2 linked regions of the Caenorhabditis elegans genome follow. The protein of the gene in region 2 purifies or fractionates together with the protein of the main gene of each other region. This does not show direct contact. Each region holds a gene or a part of one and is shown on either strand. Other genes may lie near its edges.

What was found.
Region 1: the proteins of D1054.19 (region 2) and appg-2 fractionate together in Caenorhabditis elegans (co-fractionation; one large-scale study listed by BioGRID). This does not show direct contact.

Annotation. Positions count from the first base shown.
Region 1 is NC_003280.10:8,799,463-8,803,394, reverse strand, and holds the start of appg-2 (Activated in Blocked Unfolded protein response), read right to left. Parts: upstream 2,266-3,932; 5' UTR 2,194-2,265; coding exon 2,131-2,193; intron 1,428-2,130; coding exon 1,281-1,427; intron 1,235-1,280; coding exon 1,064-1,234; intron 1,016-1,063; coding exon 833-1,015; intron 786-832; coding exon 1-785.
Region 2 is NC_003283.11:10,793,798-10,797,644, reverse strand, and holds D1054.19 (Ragulator complex protein LAMTOR5), read right to left. Parts: upstream 1,852-3,847; 5' UTR 1,846-1,851; coding exon 1,702-1,845; intron 1,452-1,701; exon of another isoform or gene 1,407-1,451; intron 1,001-1,406; coding exon 908-1,000; 3' UTR 828-907; downstream 1-827. Other genes in the region: srh-184 (Serpentine Receptor, class H), read left to right, coding at 1-48, 236-539, 589-782; ule-3 (Uterine Lumin Expressed/locailized), read right to left, coding at 2,784-3,406, 3,463-3,615, 3,660-3,837.

The sequences.
Region 1 (3,932 bases), on a different chromosome or scaffold from region 2:
TGGCATTGTGGAACACAAGAAGACTGTGGGATGTACTGTTGAGACAGTTGCTGAGGTTGTTGATAGCTGTTCTTGATCTTCAGCACAATTTGAGCAACAATACATTTAGTCTCACAAGCTGGCTGACACTCTGGGACGCATTGTTTTGGAAGCGAGATAGTTGTAGTAAAGGTGTCAGTACAAGATGGAAGACAAGCTGGCTGACACTGAGAAACGCAGTGAAGTGGGGCTGGAGTCGTCGTGTAAATAGCAACACATCCTGGATCACAAGCTGGTTGACAGATTGAGATGCACACTTTGGTTACTGGTGGAACTGTTGAAATGCCTGAAGACCCCGAAGAAAGATACTGATAAACACATTGTGGCTGGCAAGCTGGTTGACAGGCTGGAATGCATGTTTCAGGAGCACGAGTTGCTTGTGTTGCTTGAGAAGTTACGATCTGAATCTGAAGCTGTCTCTCTACACATTGTGGTTGACAAGCGGGTTGGCAGGCCGGGATACATGTTTCTGTCGTGGTAACTGCTTGAACACATTGTGGAGTGCACGCTGGTTGACAAGCCGGAATGCAGGAAGCTGTTGTTGGTTGAGCTGTAGTTTGAATAGAAACAGTGACCGATTGAATACATTGTGGAGAACAGGTTGGCTGACACTGGGAGGGACATTTCTGGGCAAGTGGCATCTTTTGAATAATCACTTCATACCGCTTCATGACATTAATACACTGAGCGTCACATGTTGGTTGGCAAGCAGAGACACATGATCTTGATGGGGCTAAGGTTGTGGTCTGAAAAATTGAATATTTTTTTGGTTGTGAAAATTGGTCGTTCAGACCGAAGTACGCATGAATTCTTTGACATTTATAGATACAGCAGCTTGAACGCATGTTGGTTGGCAAGATTTGATGCACATATCAATGCAATAAGATTTATTTGGCTGAGCTGTGCAACTGTTGGCACATGATTGAGCACAGGCTTGTGGGCATTGAGAAGCCTTGGTTTGTTGGTTTACAACTACCTGTAATTATATTATTTTATTTGGGTTCAAAGAATGGTAAAGTAGTGCCTTAATTGGTGGAAAATTGGACGATGAGCTCGTTGATGTAGATGGAGTGCATGCCTTATTGCATGTAAATTGACATGTCTTATCACAAAGAAGCTGTGGCTGATGGGAGTTCCTTACACAAGAATCTACACAAGACTTTTGACATGATGGTTGGCATACCGATGTTTGAGCCTGAAATTTCAGACTTGTACTACAATTCCATTCCACAAAGACTTGCCTTATTGGCACAAGAACATCCGCTTGATTGTGGCTCATTTGAGCATTTGCATCGTTGCATTCCACTCCCAATCGGATAACAATTGCATTTCGATTTTTGTGACAGTTGCGCACACGGGCATTGTCGCTTGGCTCGTGTAATCAAGCTCTAAAATGTATGGGATATTAACATGAGTCAGACGTGATAATCAAGTGAGCGACAGGTCATTGTTTGTTGAATTTGCGACATGGCACCGGTTTATTTGTTCTTGTGTTATTTGTATGTGTGAATGTGGGAAAATGTCATAGAAAGGCGGAACCCTTCTCATGGACATGAAATATGATATGGTTCACTTGAGAATGGCGAGACTTGGAACACTTTGCCGAGACAGGTCATCAGTCGGTCAAAATACAAGATATTGCGAAGATCGAGAGATTATAAAGAGTCATGGATGTGCAATGAAAATACTGTAGGCGCGTAGTGTTTAGCTATAAATTGGGATGATCAGGGAAACTAACGTAATTATTTTTCAATTACTGTAAACTACTAATTACACAACTATAGAAAAATAATTGAAAAATTGCACATTTTTAACAAAAAATAAAGACAACCAAAATATGAGCTACATAATTTAAGCAAGGGATTGTAAAAGTTGAAAAAGGAAATACGGTGTTTCTGCATTGATTTTTACTGGAAAAATAAAAATTTACTAGAAAAATAAAAAAAAAACAGTGATATTGGGAGAAAATGTTTCATAGGAAGATTTTGGACTACGTTTTCAAAAGTTGAATAAGAGATTGTAGAATAAGGAAAATGGATGAGAGATATTAGAGGTATAATTTTATTTTATTTTTAATATATCAAAAATTACCTGTTCTGAATCCACAAGGTATGATCCAATAACTATAAGTAATAATATAATGTTCGTCTTCATATCGTTTATTCGTAGAACTCCTCTCGGCGGTACTGCTGGCCGACGACAGTGAGGGAGGTGCTCTTTTGGTGCTCCGCTTCCTTCCGCCACTGTCTTATATACGTCTGTCATGTTGCCGCGGCGGTAGCCATCAGGCGGCAAAAAATTGTAGGATGCTCCTCCTTTCCGTCTCGATGCACCAGGAAGGAATTTACAGGAAGAAGACGAAGAATGGAGGAGACGCAAAAAAACGGATCAACTTTTTGCATCGGATCGTCGTCCGAGGACCGACGGAAATTGACGACTAGATTTTGGATTTTTGGTGGATCCTTGACACGGCCTGAAAAAAGTGTCTAAAGTGCTCAATACGATGTTTGTACAGGGTGGGAATCTCTATGTATTTTGATCCATTCAAAAAGTTGTCTCAAGGGATGTACGCGTATTTAGACAGATCAAAAAGTTGCCGGTGGTCTTCATTGCCGGAATGAGGGATCTTAAAGTTTTCAGTATACATTTTATGTTCCAAGTGTTCGACAATTCTTCAGGGAAAAAACGTAGTTGATCATGTCTGAGCTTAAATCATTTGAATTTGTTTTTGGATTTAATTGAATATGTTTTTTTTTGTGAATATATTTACAATTCAAGTATCAGAAACTTTTCCAGTTACACAATTTCTTTGAATATTACAAAGTAACTATCAAATAAAACTTTATCACGGGAAACACTTGTAAGTAGTAAGGAACTTGAAATATTACTTAAATCCCGTTTTTCCAACTTGGTAATGTCTAAAAGTGTTTCTTCGTACCTTCATAATTCAACACCCTGCAGAAAAACAATATTTCTTTTGATGAAATTGCATATTGTTCATTTGATTTTTTCTCTTTCAAAAAATGCCAACCTATTCATTTTCAAAGTCCGTCACTTGCCATCAAACAAAAAAAAACAAGTCAAGTTGGTCATTGCCAAGATGCGCAAAAAGTGATCATTTGATGCTCAACAATGCGTAAGCATGTTCCACACATTTCTCGCCTCCACAATATGTTTCTTGCCGGGTTATTTGGTTATTTCGTTGCCTTCCGCAATTGTCCGAGAATGAGACTGTGTACGTTGCAAAACCGTAAATACACAACGCATTATCCCACCAGTGGTGCCTTCTTCTGATTTTTGACTGGCAGTGGAGCATGTGGGAGGATTAAATGTGAAACAAAACGGGAAGGTGATGATGATGCATTGCCGATAGACACGGAGAAGCTTCATTTCCTTTTTTAGGATTGCCATTCTTCTTTGTAATCAAGACAGTGGAGACGGAGAGAAAGTGAAGGAAGTTGAGAACATTTTGACCGATGACCGTTGTGATTGACAAGAAAAGGAGTACTCGTGTGATCTTTGTTTCCCGAGATTGACGGCTTCTCCTACACTCTTGTCTATTTTAGTGTAACTATCAAAATTTACTATTTTTACTGTAGTTTCTCTGTTACTCTTGCATCCGATTACTCAACTATTGCAACTCTTATCTCATTTATCTTTGGGTGATTCCCTTTTGACCTTCAAGCTTATTTCAGCTTCAAAAATAATTCAGGATTATTTTTGCCTCACTCTTTTTTGGAGCTGGTTCAATACATATTTAGAAAACTAAGCGTTCATAAAACTTAAATATTTGTATTGATTCTTGTCTATTTCAATTCAGAAAACGAAACAATTATCGTGAGAGAGTAGTATTTTGGTGTGCACCTATGATATTAATTATGTAGTGACGTGGT
Region 2 (3,847 bases):
TATATGAACATTCCGGATCAACTACAAGGAAGAGCTACTGTTCAACAGGTTGGTTCGTCGTTACCAAATATGAAACGAATATGAAATCTACCCATAGTCTGTATCAAAGGGGAGCGGCAATAAAAAACGTTCAACAATTCAAAAACTATCGAGTTCAAAAAACTTTATATGCAATTTATAGTGATAGAGTTTTGAACCGCTAATTCAACGTTTTATTCTAACAATTATATTTCAGGAGATTCCATGTATCCCAAAAGATGTCATAAATCGACCTGGTTATTTTGTACTATCAATCGTGAATACAATTCCTTGCCTTTGCCTTATTTTCATGTTTTCACTCATCATTCCTCAAGCTTTATATTTTGTTCTTTCTATTTTTTGGTATCTCTACCACACTGTTTCAAAATCACAGGTTACAAATCGCCTCCAAAAACAATTTTTCTTTGCTTTATGCATTCAAGTATTCATACCAATTTTTGTGTTATCATTTCCCGTTCTATACATAGTTTTGGCAATTTGGTTCAACTATTATAATCAGGGTATGAAAGATTTCGCTCAAAACTGAACTGATTTAATGATATTTTTTAGCTGCCACAAATTTTGCACTTTTTGGAATTGCACTTCATGGAATTCTATCAACGCTGACAATGCTTTTTGTGCATACTCCATATCGTGAAGCAACTTTCCAAATATTCCACGTCAGTACGAAACGAACTGCAAATGGTTCTCAACAAATATGGAGAACAACCGTTGGAACACAAGCACAGCAAAGTATTTGGTAAAATACGTATTGAATGATTGTACTCATTTTTTTTGTTAAATGCAACTTGATAAAATAATTTTCAATATATATTAATACATACAGTAATCACATAAAAATTGGTAACATAAATAATTAGTTTCTACTTCATTTTAAACATCTTCGAAATGTGCAAACTTCCTGGATTTCCACAATTTTCAATTCTCCCTGACGTTCATTTGGAATCAGAACTGCTTCATTCTGCAATGAATCACTGAAATATAAGTGCTATCCAGCAATGGTTAGGCGATTTTTGTTGCATCAAAGTTTAGACTTTTGCAAAATTACAGGTGTTTTTGATTTTTGTGAAATGCCGCTATCATTTTCAAATCTTTGGTTCTGGTTTTGACTGAAGATAAAACAAGTGGGGATTTTATTTGCATATTTTAAAAATATACCAGAAAGGTTAAAAATCATTATGAAAAAATTCAGGAAATTTGGAAAAACACTGTCGCATATTTTACCCATCACCACATTTTAAAATTAAGAATGAAAAAATAAGTTCAACATAAAATTTTATGAGATGTTTCTAAATTTTTCTGCTAGAACTTCTTGAAACTTTTTGACGGTAAGCAAATACATTTTTTTGAAATTATAAATTTCCCACTTTCTCGGTTGTTCAAAATTTGCAAACGGCGGTTATAATAATCGTAAATCAAGTTGCATAAAAAAAGAGTCGTATGTAAAATAAAAATGAGATTCAAGTATAATCGTATCAAAAGAAAAGAAACAAGATATTTATGCCTTCCATCAAGATGGTTATTTGATCGATATGCTATTCACCTTGGTCAAAACACAACGATCACATTTTATCATAGAAAAAAGTCGTTTTCCTTACTTTCTAGTTACTACAGTTGAAACAAGTGTTATTTCCGATATCCTAATCAATAAAAGTAACTAACCGAAAAATGCACGTGTTTGGCCTGCATTCTGATCTCTGCCATCTCTTGTGGAAATGTATCTGTCCTCCGAATTTGCGTTGGTATGTTTATGTTTTGATTTAACTTTGCTTTGGGTTTTTCTTTACAAGACAAGATGCATCCCATTGGGCTGAAATTAAATATTCGTTATCAGGTTAACAGTTGTGTTCGGAATTTGGAGAGAGAGAGAAAAACAAAAAAGTTTGAAAAAACCCGTCAACGCATTTGAAAAAGAAATTTTCTTCAATCGTCTATCTGTTCTTATGTTCTCCACTGTGGTTTGCCTCGTGTTTACCTAGAAGGACAAAAATGGAGAGAAGACGATGGCTCGTCGGCTGAGTTGACCTCCTTCAAAAAAACAGCTGTGAATTTAACATTTGGCTACAAGAAGACAACAATCACATTTTCATGAAACATTTTGAAGATAACTTTTAAAAGGTGATCAATGACTGCAAAATATATAGTCGTATTGATTTAATATTTTATGAGAACGTTGCATATTATTTACAAATAAATCTAAAATAATAATAGCTGTGAATATTAATTTTTAATTTTTCAATTTTAAACGCGACCATATTTTGTCCAAAAATGAAACGGTTAAAAGTTCATAATTCTCAGTATATGTAGATTTTACCTAAAAATTATTCAATATCGTTTTGCTAACTTAAAATTTTCAGGCAACTTTGTGGCAAAATGGGAATTCAAAAAAAATGTAGACTATTGTTCTATCTCTTTTAGGCAGTTTCGCACTATAAGAGGCATTTTTAACATTTCCCCGGTGGCGACCATTAAAAAGCTGATAATCTTCAAGAAAACTTTTGGTGAAAATGGAAAAGCTATTGCTGCGATCGCAAGTACATATAAGGTCTATTATATTTTACCTAACCAAGATTTTTTCCTTCGGGCGAAAATTAGGTACGAAGTTAGGTCCGAATATTAAATGATTCTAGTGGTCATATTATAATTTTCTTACATTCTCTGAAAATTGTATAAATAACTTTAGCTTTCATTGACTTTTATTCAATAATCAATTGACATATTAAACAATTAAAATCGAAATGCATTTAGAAAACTTGACCGAGAATTTTTCCCAATTCGTTAATAGCATTATTAAGCGCCGCATCTGGTGAAGCTGGTGTTGTTGCTACAGTGATCACTTCCGTAGCTGATTCTTCTGTAACTCCGGCAGCAGCTTTGGTGACAGCACCTTCGGTGGCGGCGGCATCGGTAGCGGAAGCTTCGGTGGCGGCAGCGTCAGTAGCGGAAGCTTCAGTTGTGGTAGATTCGGCGGCAGGAGTTTCGGTGGCAGCGGCTTCAGTTGTGGATTCGGTGTCAGCTGCTTCAGTCGTGGATTCAGCGCTGTTAGCAGTTGCTCCACCAGCTTGTCTCTTCCTTCTCGACGGAATAACTGGAACGAAGAAGTCATCTTCCAAAATTTCCTGAATCTTTTGCGCCAGTTGTTGTACTCCGTGTTCCACAGGAAGACCAATAATAGTTTTGTCGAGTCCAAGACAAGTGAGTTGCGTGATTTCGATTTTCTTAGAGAATCCGTTTGTAGTTGCATTCATATCAATAACAAATCCCTCATATCTTCTGTCATCGCGATTACAAACGAGAGTGACACCGGCGGTGCTTCCAATAGCGACAACACTGGCAGAACGGACATCACGAGTTTTGTTGTGACGAGCTGGATATAGTTAAATACAATCACTAATCTACTTTGAATAGTTCGAGATAACTAACCGAAAAGGAAGTTCAAATTCTTTTCATCTCTATCACAGACAACAAGAGCAGTCACTTTTCTGTTGTATTTGACATATCGAATGATTGGTGGATAGAATGCTTCCTCAGGGATACCAGGGAACTCACCCACATATGCTCTCAAACGTGGGCACTCTGAAATTGGTAAGATGTTTATTTATTAATGGACTACGGTTTACGTTTATGACGATGTTCACGACTTCCACTATCGTAATCCCAGTACACTGATCCATAAACCGGAGGTGGATAGTAAACATTTGATGAATAGGAAGAAGCCGGTGGATTATTGGCTGGTCCTGATCCGTATTGAGCACAAACTGCGGTAACTGCCAAAGAGATAGCAAGAACAACTAACATCTTGGTGAAT